Oryzias latipes: one gene and its partners. The protein of the gene in region 2 interacts with the protein of the main gene of each other region in a biochemical or structural test. Links are inferred from orthologs where the notes say so. Each region holds a gene or a part of one and is shown on either strand. Other genes may lie near its edges. The genes, in order: stip1, heat shock protein HSP 90-alpha, tert, sugt1, fkbp4, st13 and ppp5c.

Region 1 (4,089 bases), on a different chromosome or scaffold from region 2:
AGCTCGAGATAAATAAATTCTGACCGTTGTGGGTGGACAGAGCAATCCCCGTTTAACCAGAACGTGTTACAGTGCTAACCTCACGAGACCTCAACCCCTCACGCGGGAGCGCGCACGCGCTCATTACTGGCTCGTTTGTGTTATCGAGCTTTTACCAAATTCATTATCTGTCGATCTGAGTTGCTCGTTTGCATAAATGATATGGTTAGTATCGCTTGTATTACTGAATACACCAGTTAATAATACCCCAATAACACAGACTGAACCACCTCTTACACCACCTGCATGTTATCAGTTGAAGAAACTGTCCATCTATCTACAATACTTGTCAATACATCACTATTTATCCTACAATGTGTGAGAAGAAAAAAAAGATTTGGGTGATCAAGCCACATGTAACCTTTTCACACTCTATTCACATTACAATTTGCCTTTTTTGTGAAATACAATACCACGTGTTACATCCTCTATTTGGTACGTTTCTTTTGGTGGCAAAGAGTGTTAAATAAACCCCTTTTCTGTAATCAATTTATTATATTTTATTTGTTTGTTCATTGTTTTTTCTTCTTCACCTTGGATACTTGTGAATTTGTTACACTAAAATATTAATTTATTCAGTAAGGTTCTACTCCATTCTGTTCCATTATACTAAATTTATATCATGTTGTCCTTTGTTTGAGTTTTATTCTAATAAATGAATGCTAAAAAAACCTCTATTGGATTTTTATTTATGTTTCATTCATTTTTTTAATTTAATGTGACAATGTTTGACACATATTTTGTTCAAGAAAATATTTTTTACCTAAATGTTTTTTTCTAGTGATTCATTAGAAAATAACGTATTGATGTTACACAATATTTTACCAAAGTGACCAAAAAGCACTACAATGCATTTTTGTTTATACAAAGGAAATTTCCGTATTAATGTTAAAATATTAGCAAAGTAAAACTGATGAATATTTATTGTATTTAAACATGTATGTTTTAAATTTTAAAAATGTTAACCTTGTCAACACCCTTAAATATGTGATGACATTTAAAAGTATGAGTTTCTCTTCAATATTATAGTTACGTGGATGCTGGTGTTGCTCAAAATATAAACGCTTAATTTAACCTTTTTTCAGACTTCTGTTCTTACTCTTGTAAGTGAATGCGCTTGTATCTTCAATTTGAGCTTTTACATTAGGCATAGAGGAGAGTAAAACTTCAAGGGCTGGGTTTTGAGAGTTTTTTTCCCAATTCATCTTCTGGAAGTTTCAGTCAGGAGGCTATATATTGCTCGTCAGAGGCTCCACGCGAGTTCGTCGCTGTTTGCGGATCTTCTACAACAATCTGGCAACCCGCACGTGTTCAGGGGGAGGCGCTAGTCCGCAGTAGTTTCTGGAACGTACCTCATGCTTGTATCATGGAGAAAGTAAGTCTCGTGTAATCGCATTTTCTTCTTCTTTCAAAACAAACATTTAAAATGGGTTTTTAAAGAATTGTGCAATGTTGAGATGAAACGAGTTTTCTTAAAAATCGTAGTTAAAAAAATTGTCTTAGTTTTAATCCTTAGCTTGAAGAGATTCACTTTGCTAATGCATCGAGCTAGCTTAATGTTAGCTAACCGTCATTCAATGTGGTCACTTAGAATGGAAGGTGTAGCTGAGCTTTGAGTTTTCCGTAAAACATTTTCATTTTATGTTAAAGTCCAAATAGTCTTGCGATATTTCCAGGTAACAACGCATGTGTGTCCAGTTAAGCTAATTAGCCATGATACGAAAATTCTACTGAAACTCCACTAATTTGAACTAAACGTGTTTGATTTATAAAAAAAATGTATATACATATTGGTTCATTTCTTTTCTGTCTTTGCCCATGCTTATCCTTAACCCTCGTAGCTTCAGACTAGTTCGCAAATCTTTGACATTGCAAGTACGAAATAACGATTTAAATTACGTTCATAATGCAACTAGTTGTATATTTTTGTATGTATTAGAGATTGCTAGTTTATATGCTCTCGTTCTAGTGTGGCACACAGCGCTTAAGTACTTTTCGATCGGCTGTATATGTTTAAGTAGCCTGCTCTCACACCGGAGGATCATTCTAGATGCACAGGTCGCTGCTGCCATGGCTACAGCCGCATGTCGTCGGAAATTGTCGCGCATTTTTCCGGTTTTTAAATTGTAGTATTTTGGTCCCAATTTGAACGTCTCTCTAAAAAAAATTTAAAGTCTCGTTTTCTCCAAACCTGTCGCAAATATTTAGTGATAAATATTGCAATAATATTTACTGGCAACAGCGTTAGCAACTATATGTATATGTATGCTAATCATGTAAAAATTATATTTTCTTAATATCCAGCGTTTGTTGTTCATGGGATCAACTAATGTTAATCCCCTAATCTGTGGTGATCTGGCTGTAATTACATGTTGTGACTTAATTAGTCTGTAAAACTGAAAATGATTTAAATCCTAAAGGGTCTTTTAACAGTAAGCTTTGAATTCACACGTGTAATTAATACTTTACAAAAGGTAATTACATGTGATGTAATGGGTCTTAAGCTGTATTTAAACTTTTGTTATCAACCCACAAATATAGAAATATGAGTCCTCTCAATTTCATCTTATAAAGATTGCATTGATAAATTAATGATCATAAACTTTAAATGTGAAATTTGATCAAAGGAGACAAACAGGCACAAACATTGGTTGTTTATTCACAAAACTTGGGGACATACTCATTTTAGTTGACCTGCTCAGAAAATACTTCTTTCTCTTCTTGGATGACCCCCCATTGAAAAAGTCATATTTGACGTTTTCAACATCCACTACTTTCATTAAATAGACTAAAAAGAAGTTTTCAAATCTGTTCTAATTGTATTTTAAAGCTCTTATATTGAACTTGGTCTGAAGAATAGTGTAAAGTTGTGAAAATTTGTTTTTTTTTTCTTCTTCTTTTTTTTGACAAGAATGAATTTCATAGAGCCATCACACCTGCATGACAACTGACTGTACTCTTTACTTTAGAAAAGATGGAAATGGACCATTGCAAGTGATATGTTCTCTTCCTTTTCAGTGCGATGAATTACCAAAGTTTGAATTTACTCATCTCTATTTGTGCCGTTTATTAAATGTATTGTTTCTTTGGACAGACTTCTCACTTCAGTCTGAAGTAATGAAATTTAGTTTATGAACAGATCTTTGAGTCCATTTAGAAATTAAAGCAAAATCTGGCCATTTTTTCAAATGTTTAATTTATTATCAAAGGTGTTGGGAACAGCTTCGACTGCGAGCTGGTGTGAAGCTTTATGTGTTTTTTCAATTTTAACTCTGATAACAGAAACGAAAGAAAAGACACAAGTTACCCAATTGGGTTTTATTGGATTAAGTGCAGTGTGTGGAGGAATGCAAACTTCTTTTACATTACAAGCTTAATGTGTTGGACCAGGAATCATTATATCTCACAAAGTATCGATTTAATGTTGTTATTTTTTTTACATTTTCATTCAAACGTAGTATCTTCTGGTGACGAGAACAACCTTTTGTATAACTATCAAAGAAGTAGGTTGATAAAAAAGCAGTCAATTGGACTTGGTTTCACATTTAATATTTTTCCAAAAGCCTTTCCTTAATCTGAAATGCATTACTAAGAGAGCAGGTTAATCTGCTCCTTAAGGCAAGGCAACCCAATGCTTAGGAGACTGAATATACCCTCATCACAAACGTCAATGTTCATAGCTTTTTTACATTTTTAAGTGGGCAATTTTGTTTATTTGTGCCTCTTTTACTCTCATTTGCCCCTGTTATGGATGTTTAAACTGTTTCTGGAGTTTCTCTTTATGGTGTGGATAAATTTCGTCTGTACAGATGAAGGAGAAATTCTCCATTCATTGTGGTCTTATTGTTTGTTTTTTCATGATCAGTTCTTAGGCTGTTTTTCAGCTCCTCTATATGGCATTTTTTGTATGCAAACTTTGATCTGGTGCTAATAAGCATGTTGGGTTTTGATGTTTTTCTAGATTTCAGCATTGAAGGAGCAGGGCAACAAAGCCCTGAGTGCAGGGAATATCGATGAAGCTGTGCGTTGCTACACGGAGGCCTTGGCTCT
Region 2 (2,113 bases):
CACCTGTTCCAGGTGAAGATCAGGCAGGATTTCTGGAAGACCAGCAGGAAACGCCTAAAACATGATTCGGTCCTTGTTTTCTTAAAAAAAACCTGATAGCTCTGTTTATAGATTTGCTGTTACCCTTATATCAAAAGGTTAGGACAAACAAAATTAGTGATAATTAGATGGCAATATTGTACTATTTATGTTGTGAGGACTTTGGACTTTTGCAGCATTTCAAGTGTTTCTCTTAACACTTCCAGTGTTTGCATGTCATGCAATTGTAATTACAATTAAAGATCCAATAAAAATAGGTTTGTTTGAAGTCTCATAACTTAGAAAACTGATAACCAGTCACTTCAAGTTTCTTATTTTTGTTAGATCTTTATCTAATTATTGGCAGCATTCATTCAACCTTCCAATTACTTCCTTTCCCAATTTCCCCTTCACAATAAAAGCATCAATACGTCTCCCTTCCAAAAATCTCTTGTATTTGAAAAGAACCCCAGAACAAAACGTTTTTGCTTTAGAGTTTTATTTCTGTGCTCTGGTATTCCAACCTCCAGTAATATTTACAAATTAGAGCAACATTAGAATGTCAATAAATACAAAAACAATTACATTGTTACATCTGAAGAATAAAGAGTTTCAGAACAGCTCTGAATGAGCAAATGCAAACACGTGAGGAATAAGGAAAGAAATGATGACAACTCGTTTTAACATTTGAACTGTACATGGAACTATCTCAACACTGCAGCCGACCGATCAGTCCACCTCCTCCATTCTGGACGCGTCGTCGTCGCCTTCCAGAGGCGGCATGTCCTCAGTGGGAGCAGAAGTGGTTTCTTCTACCGGTGTGTCGTCCTCATCAATGCCTGCAGTAAAAATGAAAAATATTAGTTAAAAATCTATCAGGATATAAAACACAAACTCAAATATTGAACTTTTTGATGGACTCCTTACCAAGACCCAGTTTGATCATCCTGTAGATGCGGTTAGCATGTGTTTGAGGGTCCTCCAGGGTGAATCCTGAAGACAGCAGGGCGGTCTCAAACAGCAGGATAACCAGATCCTTCACCGATTTGTCATTCTTGTCGGCCTCAGCCTTCTGCCTTAGAGTCTCCATGATGGGATGGTCGGGGTTGATCTCCAGGTGCTTCTTAGCAGCCATGTATCCCATAGTCGAGTTGTCGCGCAGCGCCTGGGCCTTCATGATCCTCTCCATGTTAGCCGTCCAGCCGTAGGTGCTGGTGACGATGCAGCATGGGGAGGAGACCAGGCGGTTGGACACTGTGACCTGTGGAAGGACTAAAGCATTAGGACTGCATCCTACCAGGAGACCCCCCCGCCATCCAAAGAAGCGTTCTTCTGCTTACCTTCTCAACCTTCTTTTCCAGGATGTCCTTCATGATCTTGCAAAGGTTCTCAAACTGAGCTTTCTTTTCTTCTTGCTTCTTCTTCTCCTCCTCATCCTCAGGCAGCTCCAGACCTTCCTTGGTGACTGAAACCAGGTTCTTGCCATCAAAGTCCTTCAGCTGCTGGACACAGTACTCGTCGATGGGCTCGATCATGTAGATGACCTCAAGACCGGCTTTGCGAAGGCGTTCCACAAAAGCAGAGTTGGCCACCTGGTCCTTGGTCTCGCCTGAACCGCAAAACATGACGTCAATCATCTGCTAACACTCAGGTGAAGAATCAGCTCAGATGCAGGTGGAGCAAGGCCTCACCAGTGATATAGTAGATGTGTTTCTGGTTGTCCTTCATGCGGGTGACATAGTCTTTGAGGGAAACCATCTCATCTCCAGAGGCTGAGGTGTAGTATCTTAGCAGCTCAGACAGCTTCTTCCTGTTCTGAGAGTCTTCGTGAATTCCAAGCTAAAGGGGGACATAGTATGTTAGTGGAAATGAACTGGAATACACCTTTCAGAAAGGTTTGTGGCGTCACAAAGCTACCTTGATGTTCTTGGAGAACTGTTCATATAACTTCTTGTAGTTGTCCTTGTCCTCAGACAGCTCTGTGAAGAGCTCCAGACATTTCTTAACCAGGTTCTTACGGATGACCTTCAGGATTTTGCTCTGCTGCAGCATCTCTCTGGAGATGTTCAGGGGCAGATCTTCAGAGTCCACCACA
Region 3 (3,500 bases), on a different chromosome or scaffold from region 2:
CTCAAACATCAGGGTTTTTTATTTCACTTGGCTGCACTTTGTTTGTGTACTTGTGACAGTAAAAGAAATCCCTGGAGGCTGATGACGTTTCCGTGCACATATTTACAGACAAGTTATTTTTAAAGCCTAACCATATCTTCTTTGTGGAAAACTACCGCAGCGAGTGAATCAAAGTCCAGAGATACAGGCGTCTGAGGAATGAGCCAGGCTCCATGTCAGAAGCTGGATTCTTCTCAAGTTTTTCATTCATCAACTTGAGCTTGTTTTACGACACCGGTTTATCACCGGGTTTTATCGCTTAAGTGGTTTTTAAGAGATGACCAAAACATATTTACTGTGCTTTACAGAACACGTAAGATTCCATTTGCTCGTTTAAACAAAAGCCTTGAATGTTCATCATGTCAATCTGAGAGAAAAATTACAACGTTTTGCTTCCATTTTCTTTTCTTTTAATCACTTTAACAAAATAAATCCTCATGTGAAAGCCATGCTGTCAAACTGCCCACACATTTCCGTTCCTGTGGCTGCTTTTACCTGTGGACTCACATCTGCATAGCCAGGAAGTCCAGCAGAGCCCGGGGGTTGGCGGCCTGCCGGACCCTAGCCAGCCTCAGGTCTCCCAGAAGCCTCTCCAACCGGCGCTTCCCTGTCCAGAGGGTGAAAGCAGATATTGAGATATTACAGTTCATCTCCGAACTGTAAAATCCACCCATCTGAGCTGTAAAATCCCATAACAGCTGGTTATAAAACTGCTAAATACACCTGAAAACATTCAGATTGGCCAGCGTGGATACAGCCATCACAGCATCCACCTTTAAGAGAAGATGTATTCCAGGAAAGTTCCTGTGTTTTCATGTTTGGTCTTTCTGTAACAGCCGTGCTGCAGTTCTGACCATAAAAACCCAACGCCAGAGTTCATGCTCGACTGCATCACGGATATTCCTGTACGCCTCTCAGCTGATGCCACCTTCAGGCAAAACCCAGCCTCATCCAGGAGATTTCAGATTCTCCATCAGCTCAGCAAACCTCTCTGTCTCCTGAGGACAGATGTTTTATGAAGAAACAAGTTCAGTAAACAGAGTCCTGATCCATTCTCAGCGAGCAGCTTTGTCATGATATTCATCAATAGTGCCAAAGCTTCTAAACCCACATTCAGAGAAAAGAAATGTTCTAAAAGAATCCTCCTGAATTCAAACACGGGATTGAATAAAGAACTCAAAGATCCCCTCTAATCGTCTCTTCATCTATTGTTAAAGCGTTCCCAGTGGTCTTTAAATCGTGATTGTCATTTTTGGACAAAATTTTTTAAAAGCCGAGTCATTTTCTAGGACATAGTTTCTGCAGAGCAGCAGCAGTTCTTTAGAAATTCACCCACCTCTGAGTTGTGCACAGAGCAAGCCCACCCCCTTCCTCTCCCATTGCTGAGAGCTCTTTGTTTACACGCTCACCTGCTGGCTTACAGCCTCTCTCACCCCCAACCTAACATTAGCAGGGCACCAAACGTGTTAAGCAGTATCAGATCTATCCAGTCGTACAGTTTAGATCCAGATCAGCTCAGACCAGGAAAACAAAGACAAACATGGATCTGTTGGTCTGACAGAGGATGATCAGAATGGAGCAGAGCAGGAAGCTTGAGGCTGCCCAGCGTATTTTCTTCTTCACAAATATGGTCTTTTTTAAACGACATTTTTTATCTGCTCCTGGTTTAATGCAATCTGAATAAAGAAATACTCAGAACTACATTTTTGACCTTCATCTTCTTAACATATGTCCTCCATCATCAGAAAAACGGTTCAAGAGCAGTGAAAGCCTTTGGCTGATCAAACCTTTGAAAGGTCAAAATGATCTGCTAAAATTCTCAAAACGCTGCCAAGTTTTGTCTTCTGCATATTCAGCTGATGATTTGAAGTGTTAAAAGTCTTAGAATATTTCGTTCAGGTGTTGAGTGACTTTCATTTTTATACTTAGTGCTTGGTGGAACACCCACATTTGTGCAGGCGTGGCAGCAGGTCTTTGTAGACGGGTCGGTGTTTAGACAGAACCCGCAGGAAGGCCAGACAGAAGAGCAGCTCCACGGCCTCGTACTGAACGCTGCCCTTCTGAGCTCCATCCCCCAAAACCAACCCTGGAGGAGAGAGGGGAAGCTGAGCACACAACCTGGCAGAGGAGACAGGGCTCCAACCTTCTGTTCGGGGTTTCTCTGAGCCATAAAAGACAAAAACACTAAACTGATCCACATCTTAATAGGTGAAGCTGTGATGCAACACTGACGTTCTGGTTTGCAGTCACACTTATTGTCGAAGCACCAGGAGATCTAAGGATCTTAACGGCTTCTTCTTGGTTCTTCAAACCAAAGGTTTGGTGGTTTGTTCCAGGCTTTTCTGAACCTCCCTGTGATCATAGTCATGGTGGAGAGTCTGGAATCTGACTGACTGCTTGAGTTCAAGTGAGCCTGAGATGAGAAACTCACCTGGATTCACTCATCTTCCTCCGCTCTGCATGGGTTTTTCTAGATTTGCTGTTTCTTGTTTTATTATTCTAACAAACCAACCATTAAAATGACTAACAGACCGTTTCTTTGAGCTGGAAAAGAGAATAAAGTAAAGTACCTGTGTTGCTGCGCCTGATGAGAGCGTTGGCATAGTGCGCCATGTCCCAGATCATCTGCTGGAAGTACGTTGGGTTCTTTGCGACCGTCTGGGCGAAGGGTAAACTCTGAACACAGACATGGAACCTGGACAGAGCGGACACAGAGGAGGCTGCAGGTCTGCAGACCAAAGGCTGAAACACCTGCATGTTCTGAGACGCTAAACACCAAAAGACTTTATTTGAACAAAGGATTGGACTTTGAAAAAGTCTTTAAATGAGCAAAAGAGAGACATAAACAGTTTTAAAGTCCGATCCCATCTATTTTCAGAGCGTTCCCAGTGGTCTTTTAGTTAGGATGACGCCACTTTTAGCCAAAATCAAACATTTCTGTTGTTTTCTAGGACATAGTTTCTGCAGAGCAGCAGGAATTCAGTAGAAATTCACCTCTGATTTGTGGACGGGACCGTTGGCATAAAGCAACCACACCCTCCCTTCCCCTCCCCTCCCCTCCCTGCTGCTGAGAGCTCTCTGTTTTCACACTGCTACCTTCCAGCACATCAAAATTCCAACCTAACATTACTGTGAAACAAAAATGGTGATCAACATCGTAGCTATCCAGCCATTCAATTCTGATCCAGATACCAGCTCAGACCAGGAAAACAAAGACGTTCATGGATCCGTTTGTCTGATGGTGGACGATCAGAATGGAGAAGGAAGACTTTGGACCACCGATTGTAGATTACTAGAACTTATTTTGTTACAACTAGAAGCTGTTTCAAAGGCATTTTTCATCTGCTCCTTATTCACAATGATTTGAATAAAGAAATACTGACAAGTGCAATTTTGAGCTTAATCTACTCTATATACACTATTTTACCAAAAGTATTGGCTCATCCATCCAAATGATCAGG
Region 4 (3,479 bases), on a different chromosome or scaffold from region 2:
AAAACCAGTGTGAATCACTAAATTGGCAAACGTAGACCACAATGCATTGCGTTTGAACAATTTTTGTGGAAAAAAAATGTTTTTTTTTTTTACAAGTTTTCATCATGAGAACATATTTCTTCATAAACAGTCTTTATAAAATGTTAATATTTATTAGGTTTTTACTTTGAGGAATCGATGACGTCATCATATTTGCCTCTAAAAAAAGAAAAAGGAGCGAGCATGGTGTCTAAATTACTTTTGAAATCCGGAGCACTAGATAGTAAAACAGAGTCCGATACAGTCAATGGTCATACAGTCATTTCAGTAGCCGTGGGTTTCCTCGAGGCGATCCCACCCGTTAACAAAAATCCCCGGAAATGACTATAAAACACAAGATGAACGTTATGAAGTCAAACGACAAATCTTTCTTTTTAACAAACCTAAAGTCACACTGAGAGAACACCTGACGAGTATTAATGTCGACTGATCAGAAAGAAGAAAAACTCTAAAGTCAGTTGTATTTTTAAAATCCTTTTTATTATTATTAGCAACTTTACATTTGTACACAAGAACTGATATTAGGTGATAAAGGCTGCCAAACAGGAAGGTCTTTTGGAGAAAACAGAAACATAGCGATTCTAAAAGTGATGTTTCAGGCCTATCAGTTACACCTGCTTCCCTTCATGTATGTCGGCCTTTATTCAAAATCAATCGAACCCAGTTAGTGATCAGCTTTTTCAGAGAATAAGCCATCTGTGGTTTGGGAAAGGGAGAGTGGGAACGCTGGCTCCCTGCACTTAGTGAAGAAAAAAAAGAAAAAAAGCACTGACATGAGGAGGAGAGGTGGGCTGTCACGCTCGCAGCAGAGCGTCGGGATTCCCGCCGGAGCTCAGACGAACCAACTTGATGACTTTAAACAGGAGGAGGAAAGCAGAGAGAGCTGCACGCGCTCAGTACTTCCTGTGCTCCACATCGTCGGGTGGACTCGCCTCCACCTTCCTCTTGCCCACATCTTTCCAGTTGGTGCTCAGAACGGTGCCAGCAGACTCCATCTGCACACACGCGCATGAGATTTCATTAAACCTTGATGCATAACTTTCCGTGTGAGCTGACCTTTCTTGTCCTTGAAGGTTTTCTGAACTGATTTTGTCTAATCTTTTAAAGTGTCTTGAGCAGCCGGTCTACAGGCTTTCTGAAGGACTTTATAGTTTCTCCTTTGACTTGGTTTTTTCTGTCCTCTCTTCGCACTTCAGCCTCTTAAAAGGGCTTAAAGAACTTTCCGATTAAAATGATGTTATTGGCGTTTTTGACATGTTCTAGCGGGATCCTTCTGAGGATTATATAAAGAATATAAAGAAAATTTATATAAAGATATATAAAGAAAATGTAAGCTTAATATTACATTTCTGATTATTTCTTTATACAAATACTTGTGAAACAGGAGCAGACAAAAACATGCTGTTGCAAAAAGACCTTATTTGTGACATTGGGTTCCCATTGCGCCAAGCTCTCAGCAACGAGAAGGGGAATGGGGGGTGGGGTTGCTCTGCGTCATCGTCCCCCCTCCCCCCACAACTCTGAGGCAAATTTCTAATGAACTACTGCAGCTCTGTGGAAACTATGTCCTACAAAACTACAGTTTTTTTTTTTATTATTTTGGCTAAAAACGGCATAATCATAATTAAAATTCCACTGGGATCACGTTCAAAACAGATTAAATTATAATCAAGTGGGTCTATAAAATTGTTTTTTGCCAACTATTATATTCTGCATAGACCAAGCACTGAATGGTTCCTTAAAAAAACGGCAGAGCTTTATCTTGAAGGGATTTCAAAAGGATTAAAAGAAAATCTGGGATATTTGCAGGCAAAATAAGCAAAAAGAAAGGTGCTGGTTTGTTTCAAAATGTGAAATTGTATTGAAATGTGCTGCCTCTTGGCCAGGACTCCCTTGGAAAAGTGTTTTTTAATCTCAATGGGACTTTCCTGGTTAAATAAAGGTTAAATAAAAAAAAAATATATAATATTCCATTCCATTAAAAATCTAGTGATCTTCAAGTCAACACAAATACACAAATCCTGCAGCTCTTCACTTCCTCAGAATGCTACAAATGAAAACCAAAGTGGATCACTGTTCATATAAATGATCATTTCTGCAGAAAGCAGCCCAGATCCACCTCCAACACGAGCCGTCAGTTTGAGTGTGGATTCATTTTTTTTGTCTTTTTTTTAAGACTCCGCAGTCCCCATCTCTTCTGCATGGATTCAGATGACATGACTGTGGCAAATCAATATGCGTGTTGCGATAAGTGCAGATGGCTGTTTGGGAGCGGCTGTGGGTCGCCGTCAGTTCAGCGTCCGTCTGTGCCGGTTTGAGGAATGCTCCGCTTTTCGCTCAGATTTATGCAATAGTTGGAGGACGTCGAATGGGTCCCGAATTGAGGCCAAAAATTAGCTTCCTTCGTGAGCGCAAAGCTAACGACGGGGAAACGAGAGATCACTTCAACAATACTTACACTATTGTGAGGTGAAAAGACCAAAGCTGCCTCTATCAAAAGGTCAGCTCTCCATGAAAAGACAAACTCTTTCTTCTTTAACCTAGATGGCACTTGCTGAATCAAATATAGAGTTAGAATCGCTGATGCAAGTGTGAAAAACAATGTTTTTTTTAAAACACACTTGTTAAAACTGTCAGCTTTGACCAGTTTTACATCTTCAGCTTAAAGGAGGAGAGAGTTTCTGTGTTGCAAAGAGGAAATTTTACCAGTGAAATAAAACTGCAGTGTTGTTACGTGCTCACTTGCAGATAATGGAGTTTTGTTTGTTTTCTTGGCGAAATCTGATCCTTCGGCTGACAGAGCAGATCTCAAGCTGTCTGTGTTTCTATGATCTCCTGTTTTTGTATGAGAATGCATACAAACTTAGACTCTTCGCTTTCTCCTCACTCCCTTCCTGTCTGCTCTGTTAAAAAAAAAAAATCACTGCAAAGCGGACAAGAGGGTTTCAGGGAAGACATGTTCAGAAAGAGTGAGACACTATCTTTTTTTTGTTAATACCCAAAAGGTCTGATATTTTATAAAAACACGGTTGACACACCGCCTCCCCTATCTAAGGTGGGAGAAATGGGTATGGGAGGATAACTGAGAGGTGCAGTTCTTTCCTGAAGGCTTTTATTTTGTAAAAGGATTAACTTCTGCTGGACAGAAGATGAAGAACATCCTATTCAGCTTAATTTGACTGCTCTCCAGCAGCAGAGGAGTCTGCAAACGTTAAAAGTCAAATGCCACTTGGAGGAAAAGTACTCACAAATGATTTGTTCATGGCTCGTTTGACCTCGTCCGAGCCGTCCGTGTAAATCTGCTGGAAGAGCTTGTTGAGTGCCGCGTCTCCCTCCAGCTTCTCGTTTTTCTCCTCCTCGCTGATGTCCGACACCATCTTGTCCCACTTGCGGGTGTAGTGTAAGGATGTGGGGTACGGGTCTGACGGAAGACAAGCACA
Region 5 (4,137 bases), on a different chromosome or scaffold from region 2:
CATGGCCATGATAGCCTTCTCCAACCCAGCTGGCAAGTTAAAACTTTCTCCATCTCCAATCTCAAATTTCAGTTCTCTCTCGTCAAAAATGCGTTCATCATGAGTACCCTGCACAGTGACTGAGAGGGGATAGAAGTGTGCAGGTCAGGTGGGGTCACTCTCATAGGTTTACTGTGTGACCGACTTGTGTAAAGCTTTGGGAATGATGGGTAAACACATCTCATTTTTCTGTGACATTGCTGTTAATGTTTTCTGAATGGGACTAGATTGAACACAGAAATAATTAAAAATACAAATTAATTGAAGATAACTACGTTCAATATTTAACATAAGAAAGGAGTTCACTATATAGTAAAAACTTTGTGAGACAACTGAGTAATGCAGCAAATATGGGATTTAAGTAAAACGTGACCTCAAAAACTATTCTAATTGGATATCATTGTATTTATTGGAATTTCACAGAAAAAATATTGTTTTAAATGCAACTGTTTGCTTTTAGCCAGTTAAAATTTGTATAAGATTAACTCACTATGGTACTAGTCCTAATACAGTTTCCAGTATTTAATCAAACTTTCAATAAATACAGATCAAGATCAAGTTCAATTTAGGTGTACAATGTTATATTAATCAGAAAAGAGGAAAAAAACAATTCAGATGGATGTACCTTCAACAGTAGCCCCTTCATTTGGCTTTGAATATCCCTCCCCCTTAGTGATAATACGTCGAATGATTCCTCCATCTTCATCCTCTGTTATATCTTCTCCTCGAAAATCAAACAGTTCAACCTAAAAGAGAGTAGAAAAAAATAATCTCAATGATTAATACATACCCTTGAGTTCTCTGTTTTTCTAACACTATGCAAGATCATTTTGGAGATTATTACCACTGAATACCTGACAGAATTTGAAAAAGTATTTACTGGCTTTTAATTTATTTTAGTCATTACAGTAGATTTAAACGCCCCAATATTTTTGAATGTTTCCAGCAGACGTGTACATTTATGTGGCTTGTCTCTAATGCAATACCAGAACTCTATGCATACAAAAACTTACCTCAAAAACAAGAGTGGAATTTGGGGGTATCTTGGGTGGGCTGCCTGCAGATCCATAAGCATACTCTGGCTTGCAGACAAGTTGGCACAACTCTCCTACTTTCATTGTGGCCACACCAATGTCCCATGCTTTTATTACTTGACCTGAATAAAGTTAGATGATACAGTCTGAACTATTTGCACAATAGCAATAGGCAAGTATTCACTACCTGGTCCAAAACAAATTCAAAAATGCACTGATGTGACGTGATGTGATGTACAGTTGTTAGCAACAAATCATTTAACCTTAGTTGATGAATTGTCCAGCTTTTATCTCCAGAAATAACAATGGTTAAAGTCCTCCTATTCTAGATTAACAGTTAAGGAGTCACCAGTACCTAATGAGTGGGGCGACAGATACATCCAACAAGTTAAGTGTATATTATGTTCATTAGTTTGGATTCTGGATTACTAAAGTAAATCTGATTTCAGCAAAATGTCACACATTCCCAATCAAAAATGATTAAATTAAGGAATACATTTTTTGCAGCAAAAACAACATTGTCAACCCCCATGATGGTATGTAAATATTATGTATGCGCTAAAAAGAGGCTTTCTGAGCAAGCAAATACAGTAAAATAATCATAGAATAGAGTTTGCCCAACAACACATGATACTGAAACTTATTTTTATTTATTTTTTTGCAGCCAGGTAGAAGATTAGAAACCAACCTTTGCCCAACTCAAAGGAAAACTTTTCTCCTCTGTCTCTGCTCGAGTCAAAGTGTGTCCCATCCAAGAGCGTCCCCACATAATGGACAAACACTTTGTCACCAGTCATGGGGAGTTCAGTCCCTGTACCTTCCCTCTTAATAACCTGCGAAAACAAAAGCAAATCTCCATGAATGCAGCTGTAAATTTGTTTTAATCCTCATTTATTGAAATACAGTGGGCTCGCAAATCTTAACAATTAAATCTGGTGGGCTTAGTGTTCTGGTTGTGCATATAATCTACCATTTAATTCTATAAAACAGCTCATGGCTCCAGACCTTTCTAGAACTGGATTAGGTTGCATGATCGATATAATTGATAACCTAACAATAAATTCCCAGAAAAACCATCAAACAAAAACTTCTGCGAATAAACTTAAGATAAATGTTTACTGTGCTCTCACTGACCATGAACATTCACTAACTGATTGCAGAAAATATGTTTGAACTCAAACGTTAATAAATAGGCTAACGTTAGCTTAGCCAAAAGCGCCTGCTAACCTAGCAATATGCTTCAGTTAAGATCTTTATTACAAACCCGTTTACCTTTAGAACACCCCCATCTTTCTTTGGTGTGATGTCTTCCCCTTCCAGCGGGATCGCGTGCTGTCCTTCGTTTGACTGCTCCTCTGCGGTCATTTTTAGACAAATGTCGGACTTGCAGCAAAACCTGAGACCACTGACTGACACTAGTTAGTAGCAACGGTGGCTACAGCTACGGTTACTTCAAACCACGCCAAGTGCACAAACAAGGAGCCGACTATCAACAAATTAATGTCAAGCTAACATGCGTCGCTCAAACTCTTAGCTTTCTAGCTAATATTAAACTATACACGTTTCCGTGTGAAACTGAAAGCAACCAAACCTGCTACCACTAATCAAACGTATCAAACTAGCTGACTGGACTTGAGCGGGGATGCTTTCCGTTAACGTTGTCTGGCAGTACGGGTTCTGACAAGCGTTTTAGAAGGGCAGAGAACTTTCCAGACAGTATGAGAGAAGGGGGAGGGACGCTCGCTGGGGTTGTTCTATTTCACACGGGTACATTCCACAAAGGCGGTGCTAAAATTGGGGCATAGGAAAATCCATGTTGTTGCACTCTGACATAAATAAAGTTATCGCAATTCAAAAGCATTTTGTAATTTGCGAAATAAAGTGTTGAGACAGGACAATGTTTGGAAATTACTAGAGTAGCTCCGACCACAAATGTAGTCCAACGAGTTAAATATAGCCTCCCCTTTTCAGCTCGCCTCCTATTGGCCAGAGTCTGTGACCACTTCTGTTTATTGGCGCGTAGTTGAAAGTGTAGCTTTGAGAGCAGATAGGTAGCATTATACGGTAAGTACACTCCATTTAAGTACTAGTTTTATATTTTAACTTTTTTAAGTAAAATTTAAAACATTAATGTCGTTATATTAACTGTGTGTGAAGTTTATTTGTTGTCGCTGTAGCTTCCAGGTTTGTTGAAGTTAGCTGCTTGTACATGATCCACATAAGCTTTTAGTTTTAGTACCGGTAATCAATATAAAACTACTCAGTTTAGAAAGATTTACTACAACATTTTCAGTTTTATATTTCGAGTTGCCTGTATTGAATGTTGTCATTGATCGTATCTGACCATTGTTATGATCCTCAGAGAACATTAGGAGCATGGAAAAGGGCAGGGACACATTTCCATTCCCCTACCAGCCTTATGATATTCAGGAGCAGTTTATGCAAGCCCTCTACAGAGCACTCGACCAAAGCAAAGTTGGCATCTTCGAAAGTCCAACTGGAACGGTATGTGAAACAACAATCTCAACGAGCTCAATTTACCTAAAAACTTCAGTTTAGATTCATGGAAATGCTGTTGATCTAGGGCAAGTCACTGAGCCTGATATGTGGAGCTTTGAGCTGGTTGAGAGATCATGAAGAGAAGACGATACAGGAGGCCGCTGCTCTGCTGCAGGAAGGAGAAGCAGCTCTCTCCACCTCAGCTGCACAGTCCTCCTCCACCAGCTCCTCGGCAGAGCCAGACTGGATCACTGACTTTGTTCAAAAGAAGGCTGAGCGAGACCTGGTGTCCAAACTGAAGGTGAACAAGAGAAATGCACTTTTTAAATGTAGATTTCCGATTAAAATCTACAAACCTGCTGACTGTAACTCTTGCTTTTATAATAGGAGGAAGACTTAAAGAGGAAGAAGAGAGAAGAACGGTTAGAAATGATCAGAAATAATGCTCAGCTTAAGTATGCTCTTAAAAGGAAGGTAAGCTATATTTACAGAAGCACTTTGGTCACAGGCTGTTTCATTCTTTAAAGACCCACTCCAATCAAGATTTCTCTTATTTTCCTCATCT
Region 6 (2,712 bases), on a different chromosome or scaffold from region 2:
CATGACAGAATACTTCCTAAAGACCCACTCTGATGAAAATCTTGTTTTCTGGTGTTTTCAACGTGCTCTAGTGCCTTTTTCTGATGAAGGGCATAAAAGAAAACTAAGCTCAAATTTACGTTCCAAAAATAACCTGCGATTAAAAAAAAAAAAAAGATTCCAATGAAAAATATCCACACAGACTGAAACGTAAACTGCGATAGTCAATGAGCGGTAATTCTATATTCAGATGAAAAAAAGAGCTTTGTGATGAGATTCATGTGGTGGGCAACAAGCGCCCCGCTTTACAACGGGGAGGGGATGGGGCGGGTTTGCTCCATGCCAACACTCCCGCCCACAACTCGGAGGTAAATTTCTAATGAACTGCTGCTGCTCTGCAGAAGCTGGCATGGATTAGGCATCATGAAAAGTTTTCACTTTAATAGAAGACAACCGTTAAAAGCTAGGGAATTTGACAGTTAAAGTACATTTATCAGTGCAAGTAGAAAAGAGGATTAAAGCTGTTTTCCATCAACATTTTTATTGTGAACTTTTCAACAGGAATATTAAAGTTATTTGCAGTTAGCCTTTCACAACAGCATGTACCAGCACCCACGCTTTGGAGTGCGGCCTCACAACCAGGAATTTCCTACTGAGTGTAGAATGGCTCTAGAAAGAGGCGTTGGTTCCATGCAGGAACTGTCCGAGCTGCTGTCGCAGGTTAAATCACAGCCGCGACCCATCAGAGAGGAGGGAGGGGCTTAGCTAAATACCAGGACTGACCCATAACCATCTGTTTGATTTGTTGATGTTGCTAACAAACTGAGGAAGATTTAAAAAAAAAAAAGAAACCAGTGAAAAACACTTTCCATCTTTCTGTTACATTTGCATCACTTTGACCTGCTCCCCTGATAGAACTAAACACACTGAGAAAATGTTGAAAAGCTTAATTTCACTCGCTCCTCCAAACATCATCTCCGTTTTGGTCCAGTCCACTTCTATGGCTGGGGGGGGGCTCCGAACTTGGAACTCAGCTTGGAAGCGAGAGCCATGATTTTGGGGTTGTTCTGATACTTGGAGATGTTTGCCGGATTCTGAGCCACATCCTGGAAGGCGGCCATCACCTCAGGGTCCTGGAGTCAGAAAGAAGTCAACCTCACTGGAGTGTTTCAGGAGTCACAAAAACTGAGCAGAAAACAGCTGCAGTTTTAATTTTCTCAGACTCTCCGTCAGTGTATTTTTAATACAAAGTTTAAATTGTGTTTCCTGTGTTTTGCACATTTATGGAACTAAGGCTTTTCCTTGGGGGAATGTGATAGAATTGGTTCATCTTAAGTTACCTTCATGGCGTTGAGCACCTCAGGATCCTTCAGGAGGTCACCAAGACCGGGCATACCTGCTGGACCTCCGCCTGGGAATCCGGCAGCACCTGGAACATCAAGGAGATTTAAATACTCCAGCACAGTTACGTCCAATCGACTGGATTGTAGGATGGAGGAGGAGCCTATCCACTGGATTGAAGAGGCTTGTAAGAATGGCAAAGATGTTGAATCGCTTTTGATTTTCAAAGGAATCACAGTGAGAGCATCAGGCGTGCAGAAAAACACGGCCACTGCATGACATTACTTCTAATTTACAGATATAGACTGGCAAAACCAACAACTGAACGCCGTTTAACACCATTCTACCTAAATAATAATCAATCGTTATAGTAATTTTCCCGATATTTATTTAATAAATGTCCTACCTAACCGTATTCGTTTTCCTTGTTTGATCATTCAGAAATCATAGCCAAATAAAATCCAAATAATGATCGCTTTGTGCAATGGGTTTGAGGTTTGAGCTGCTAAAGTTAAAGTTGCTTGAATTTCAGTCTTCACAAAATCATTGAAAACAGAGAAATGAAGGACAAATTCAGCTCGTCGTACAATAAAGTAAAACCAATTACTGTTACTACCCTTAAAATATCCCTTAATACAACAACTAAAATTTGCCTTAAAATATGTGCAAATAAATTCAGCCTAAATATAAACCGTTAGAATAATATCTGCTCAAATGAAACGTCGATATTTTCAATAGAACCTGAAATATTTGAGGATTACTTAAATTTGTATTTTGATTTGTGAATGACAGAGCGGAAACAGTTAGGTAGGACATTTAACATAAATATAACATTTTCCATTACGATAAGTAAGTTGTATCATTTAAGTAGAATGGTCAGTTTTCCTGGTCTATATCTGTAAACCGGAGGTAACATTACACAATGGCGGAGATATAGTGTTTTATGATGAGGTCATCCAATGTTTCACTTTTAAATGAGATTATCCTATTAGTTAATGTGAGATCAGAAATGACAGCATGCAGGACGGACAGGTAATCTGACCTGGGAAACCTCCTGCTCCGGCTCCAAAATGTCGGGATTCCTCTTCCTGCAGAAACACAGAAAAGGCAGTGAGGGGCGGACCTTTTCCCTCCAAAAGCGAAGAGGAATCCAGAAGAGCTCACCCTCTGAGCACGGGCGTGCTCCTCTCTGGCCTTCTTTATGCGCTCCTGCCGGTCCTTGATCTCCCTCTCCTCCCTCTTGCGCTCATATTTGCGCCTGTGCTCGATGATTTTGTTCGCCTGTCAAAATAATCTTTCAGACTTCGGTCTCTCTCTGCTGTCTTTGAATGCTTTCATAGAGCTGATACCTTCGGCTGGACCTCCTTCAGCATTGCACTGGCGTCCTCGTCA
Region 7 (3,500 bases), on a different chromosome or scaffold from region 2:
ACACCTTCTCATTCAAAGAGTTTTCTTTACTTTCATGACTATGAAAAATGTAGATTCACACTGAAGGCATCAAAACTGTGAATGAACACATGTGGAATTAAATACATAACAAAAAAGTGTGAAACAACTGAAAATATGTCATATTGTAGGTTCTTCCAGAGGTAGTCACCTGAAATGGTTTTGTGTGCCCTGTCTGGTTTAACAAGTGTGATTTCTTGCCTTATAAATGGGGTTGGGACCGTCAGTTGTGTTGTGCAGAAGTCAGGTGGATACACAGCTGATAGTCCAACTGAATAGACTGTTAGAATTTGTATAACGGCAAGAAAAAAGTACAGAAAAACGAGCGGCCATCATTACTTTAAGAAATGAAGGTCAGTCAGTCCAAAGAATTGGGAAAACTTTGAAAGAGTCCCCAAGTGTAGTCACAAAAACCATCAAGCGCTACAAAGAAACTGGCTCATATACGGACCGCCGCAGGAAAGGAAGACCAAGAGTCACCTTGAGGATAAGTTCATCGACTAAGTTCATCCGAGTCACCGGCCTCAGAAATGGCAGGTTAACAGCAGCTCAGATTAGAGAGCAGGTCAATGGCACACAGAGTTCTAGCAGCAGACACATCTCTACAACAACTGTTAAAAGGTGTGAATCAGGCCTTCATGGTAGAATATCTGCTAGGAAACCACTGCTAAAGAAAGCCAACAAGCAGAAGAGACTTGTTTGGCCTAAAGAACACAAGGAATGGACATGAGACCAGTGGACATCTGTGCTTTCCATCTTACAGCGGCATGCTATTCCATCCGGTTTGCGTTTAGTTGGACCATCATTTATTTTTCAACAGGACAATGAGCCCAAACACACCTCCAGGCTGTGTAAGGGCTATTTGACCAAGATGGACAGTGATGGGCCAACAAGTGCTAAGCATCTCTGGAAACACCTTGGAACCCATTTCAGGTGACTAACTCTGGAAGATCATCCAGAGAATGCCAAGAGTCTGCAAAGCAGTAATCAAAGCAAAAGGTGGCTACTATGAAGAACCTATAATATGACATTTTCAGTTGTTTCACACTTTTGTGTTAATTCATAGTTGTGATGCCTTCAGTGTGAATCTACAATTTTTTCATAGTCATGAAAATAAAGAAAACTCTTTGAATGAGACGGTTTGTCCAAACATTTGGTCTGTACTGTAAAGATGGAACAACTAGAAAACCCTCACAGTCCATTTATTTGAACTTTGCCAACAGAAAACATGTTTTGCAACCAAATGTTTTGATCTTAAGAGGAAAAAAAGAAAACTCCCTATAACTCCAGGCGACTTCTCTGCCACGTTTTCAGTCACATGACATCACAATACCGTGTAAAATTCATATTTATTATGTTTTCTATCCACGTTCTCATTATATTTAAGTCTAAACACACGACGTATCATAAATGCTGGACTGATCACCGTGAATCAGCGGATTCTGCCGCGCAGGAAAGCGGCTTTGCATCAAAATGAGACTTGTGAGACTTGGCCCCTACCACTCCTCCACCCGCACACTGAACATTGGGGCGCCACAGGGCTGTGTGCTAAGCCCCCTGCTGTACTGCCTCTACACTTACGACTGCAGTCCAGCCCACAACAACAACTGCATCATAAAGTTTGCCGACGACACCACGGTGGTCGGACTCATTCCCAGGGGGGAGGAGTCTGCCTACAGAGAGGAGGTCCTGAAGTTGACAACCTGGTCCTCAGAGAACAACCTCACCCTGAACACCAGCAAAACCAGGGAGATCATAGTCGACTTCAGGAAACACCTTCAAGTTCCTCGGCATCATCATCTCTGCAGACCTTTCCTGGACAGCCAACACCACCGCCATCATCAAGAAGGCTCAGCAGCGTCTGCACTTCCTGAGGGTCCTCAGGAAGAACAAAATTAAAACCAACCTGCTGCTGACCTTCTACCAGTCATCCATCCAGAGCCTGCTCACTTACTGCACAACTGTTTGGTTCGGCAGCTGCACGGCCGCGGATAAAAAGAGACTGCAGAGAGTCGTAGAGACAGCTGAGAAAATCATTGGGTGCCCTCTCCCCACACTGACGGACATCTACTCCGCGCGCTGTCTCACCAGGGCTCAGAACATCATTAAGGACAGTTCACACCCCGGCTCAGACCTGTTCAACCTGATGCCCTCCGGGAGGCGCTACAGAGGCATCAGAAGCAAAACGAACAGACTAAAAAACAGCTTCTTTCCAAAGGCAATAACAATCCTCAATTCCCAAATGCACAGATAAGAGGAAAAAAAAAAACGAGAAAAAAAAACATTCCTTTTACTCTGTCCACAGTCTGACCACAGTGTCATCTATCTACCTCATTGCCACCTCTGCACTTTGACATGTCTACGCACAGTTTTTTCATACGCAATTTTTGCACTATTATCTCGGCACTCTCCAATACAGTTTACAGCTTATATTGCACACTTGTATATACTGTTTGTTTGCTTGTTTGATTTTATTATATTACAATGTTATCTTTACTACTTTTCCCTTCCTTACTGTTCTTGCACTGATGGTGATGCTTAAATCTCATTGTACTATGCACAATGACAATAAAGCCATTCTATTCTATTCTATTCTAAAATGCAGCACTTTACGGAGCTAATGGGCGCAAAGCGGCTATAAAAAACGCTTTTCTGTAAGAAATCAGAATCAGCTGATTCACAGTGATTTACATAAAGGGTTAAAGCAAATTCAGTTTTTTTATGAATTTATGTCAGTAAACAGGAACCCCCCCCCCACTACCAAAAAAATAGCTTTAGTTTGAAAATGGGAAGCTTCCCCGACACTTTTTTTAGAATATTTGGACGTTCAGCTTTTTTTTTTTTAGTTTACAAACTTAAAATCCAACAATATCCTGCGTTTTACAGCAATAAATATATTGTGCTCGAGTTATATTTTTACTGCACTGGAGAATATTTGCACTCGGATCCTCATTCGTGTCTTTTTTTCTCCTTCATCTCTTCCCCCCTTAAAAATGGCGGACCCGTCCTGCTGCAGGAACACCCCCCCCCCGTGTGAACTCACCAGCACTTTGCTGTTGATGCACTGAGCGAGAGGAAGCCACTGGAAGACCTCGCTGAACAGCTGGAACATCTGCGCCGTGTACTTGGCTTTGACCTCCCCTTCAAACCCGTACATCTGGTTCATGTTGTCCGTCTCGTGGTTTCCTGAACACCGTACATGTCTGATTTAGTTCAGCGGAGGCGCGCGAAGGCGCGCGAAGGCGCGCGAAGGCGCTCAAAGGCGTCACGCACCTCTCAGTAGGTGAAAGTTGTCGGGGTAGAGCAGCTTGAAGCCAAAGAGAGTGAGGATGACCTCGAGGGAGAAGGAGCCGCGGTCCACAAAGTCCCCGTTGAACAGCTGAACGCCGCAGTCAAGGAAAATGACGCACGAGTTCTGCGTTTGACGACTCTGGGGCACGACGTGCCGCCGTGACGGAAGGATACGTAAGGGTTGGCGTCTG

Evidence for each region.
Region 1: the proteins of heat shock protein HSP 90-alpha (region 2) and stip1 form a complex in vitro, tested with the Homo sapiens proteins (9 studies listed by BioGRID). The link is inferred for Oryzias latipes from reciprocal best matches to the Homo sapiens genes HSP90AA1 and STIP1.
Region 3: the proteins of heat shock protein HSP 90-alpha (region 2) and tert form a complex in vitro, tested with the Homo sapiens proteins (2 studies listed by BioGRID). The link is inferred for Oryzias latipes from reciprocal best matches to the Homo sapiens genes HSP90AA1 and TERT.
Region 4: the proteins of heat shock protein HSP 90-alpha (region 2) and sugt1 form a complex in vitro, tested with the Homo sapiens proteins (4 studies listed by BioGRID, with this or other methods). The link is inferred for Oryzias latipes from reciprocal best matches to the Homo sapiens genes HSP90AA1 and SUGT1.
Region 5: the proteins of heat shock protein HSP 90-alpha (region 2) and fkbp4 form a complex in vitro, tested with the Homo sapiens proteins (4 studies listed by BioGRID and IntAct). The link is inferred for Oryzias latipes from reciprocal best matches to the Homo sapiens genes HSP90AA1 and FKBP4.
Region 6: the proteins of heat shock protein HSP 90-alpha (region 2) and st13 form a complex in vitro, tested with the Homo sapiens proteins (2 studies listed by BioGRID). The link is inferred for Oryzias latipes from reciprocal best matches to the Homo sapiens genes HSP90AA1 and ST13.
Region 7: the proteins of heat shock protein HSP 90-alpha (region 2) and ppp5c form a complex in vitro, tested with the Homo sapiens proteins (4 studies listed by BioGRID, with this or other methods). The link is inferred for Oryzias latipes from reciprocal best matches to the Homo sapiens genes HSP90AA1 and PPP5C.

The regions. Positions count from the first base shown.
Region 1 is NC_019872.2:19,986,875-19,990,963, reverse strand, and holds the start of stip1 (stress-induced-phosphoprotein 1), read left to right. Parts: upstream 1-1,289; 5' UTR 1,290-1,405; coding exon 1,406-1,414; intron 1,415-4,000; coding exon 4,001-4,089. UniProt on the Homo sapiens protein: Acts as a co-chaperone for HSP90AA1. Mediates the association of the molecular chaperones HSPA8/HSC70 and HSP90.
Region 2 is NC_019882.2:17,298,760-17,300,872, reverse strand, and holds the end of heat shock protein HSP 90-alpha, read right to left. Parts: coding exon 1,936-2,113; intron 1,858-1,935; coding exon 1,710-1,857; intron 1,628-1,709; coding exon 1,359-1,627; intron 1,280-1,358; coding exon 946-1,279; intron 858-945; coding exon 748-857; 3' UTR 501-747; downstream 1-500. UniProt on the Homo sapiens protein: Molecular chaperone that promotes the maturation, structural maintenance and proper regulation of specific target proteins involved for instance in cell cycle control and signal transduction.
Region 3 is NC_019869.2:25,695,017-25,698,516, forward strand, and holds part of tert (telomerase reverse transcriptase), read right to left. Parts: intron 2,735-3,500; coding exon 2,610-2,734; intron 2,126-2,609; coding exon 1,988-2,125; intron 647-1,987; coding exon 543-646; 3' UTR 535-542; exon of another isoform or gene 1-534. UniProt on the Homo sapiens protein: Telomerase is a ribonucleoprotein enzyme essential for the replication of chromosome termini in most eukaryotes. Active in progenitor and cancer cells. Inactive, or very low activity, in normal somatic cells.
Region 4 is NC_019875.2:17,072,446-17,075,924, reverse strand, and holds the end of sugt1 (protein SGT1 homolog), read right to left. Parts: intron 3,461-3,479; coding exon 3,288-3,460; intron 1,035-3,287; coding exon 933-1,034; 3' UTR 501-932; downstream 1-500. UniProt on the Homo sapiens protein: May play a role in ubiquitination and subsequent proteasomal degradation of target proteins.
Region 5 is NC_019864.2:19,209,404-19,213,540, reverse strand, and holds the start of fkbp4 (peptidyl-prolyl cis-trans isomerase FKBP4), read right to left. Parts: upstream 2,801-4,137; 5' UTR 2,439-2,800; coding exon 2,346-2,438; intron 1,907-2,345; coding exon 1,762-1,906; intron 1,196-1,761; coding exon 1,053-1,195; intron 786-1,052; coding exon 665-785; intron 120-664; coding exon 1-119. Other genes in the region: ATP-dependent DNA helicase DDX11, read left to right, coding at 3,450-3,578, 3,658-3,873, 3,960-4,046. UniProt on the Homo sapiens protein: Immunophilin protein with PPIase and co-chaperone activities. Component of steroid receptors heterocomplexes through interaction with heat-shock protein 90 (HSP90).
Region 6 is NC_019866.2:19,406,719-19,409,430, reverse strand, and holds the end of st13 (hsc70-interacting protein), read right to left. Parts: coding exon 2,670-2,712; intron 2,602-2,669; coding exon 2,485-2,601; intron 2,409-2,484; coding exon 2,363-2,408; intron 1,409-2,362; coding exon 1,320-1,408; intron 1,113-1,319; coding exon 978-1,112; 3' UTR 501-977; downstream 1-500. UniProt on the Homo sapiens protein: One HIP oligomer binds the ATPase domains of at least two HSC70 molecules dependent on activation of the HSC70 ATPase by HSP40. Stabilizes the ADP state of HSC70 that has a high affinity for substrate protein.
Region 7 is NC_019871.2:3,343,358-3,346,857, reverse strand, and holds part of ppp5c (serine/threonine-protein phosphatase 5), read right to left. Parts: coding exon 3,484-3,500; intron 3,398-3,483; coding exon 3,292-3,397; intron 3,205-3,291; coding exon 3,062-3,204; intron 1-3,061. UniProt on the Homo sapiens protein: Serine/threonine-protein phosphatase that dephosphorylates a myriad of proteins involved in different signaling pathways including the kinases CSNK1E, ASK1/MAP3K5, PRKDC and RAF1, the nuclear receptors NR3C1, PPARG, ESR1 and ESR2, SMAD proteins and TAU/MAPT.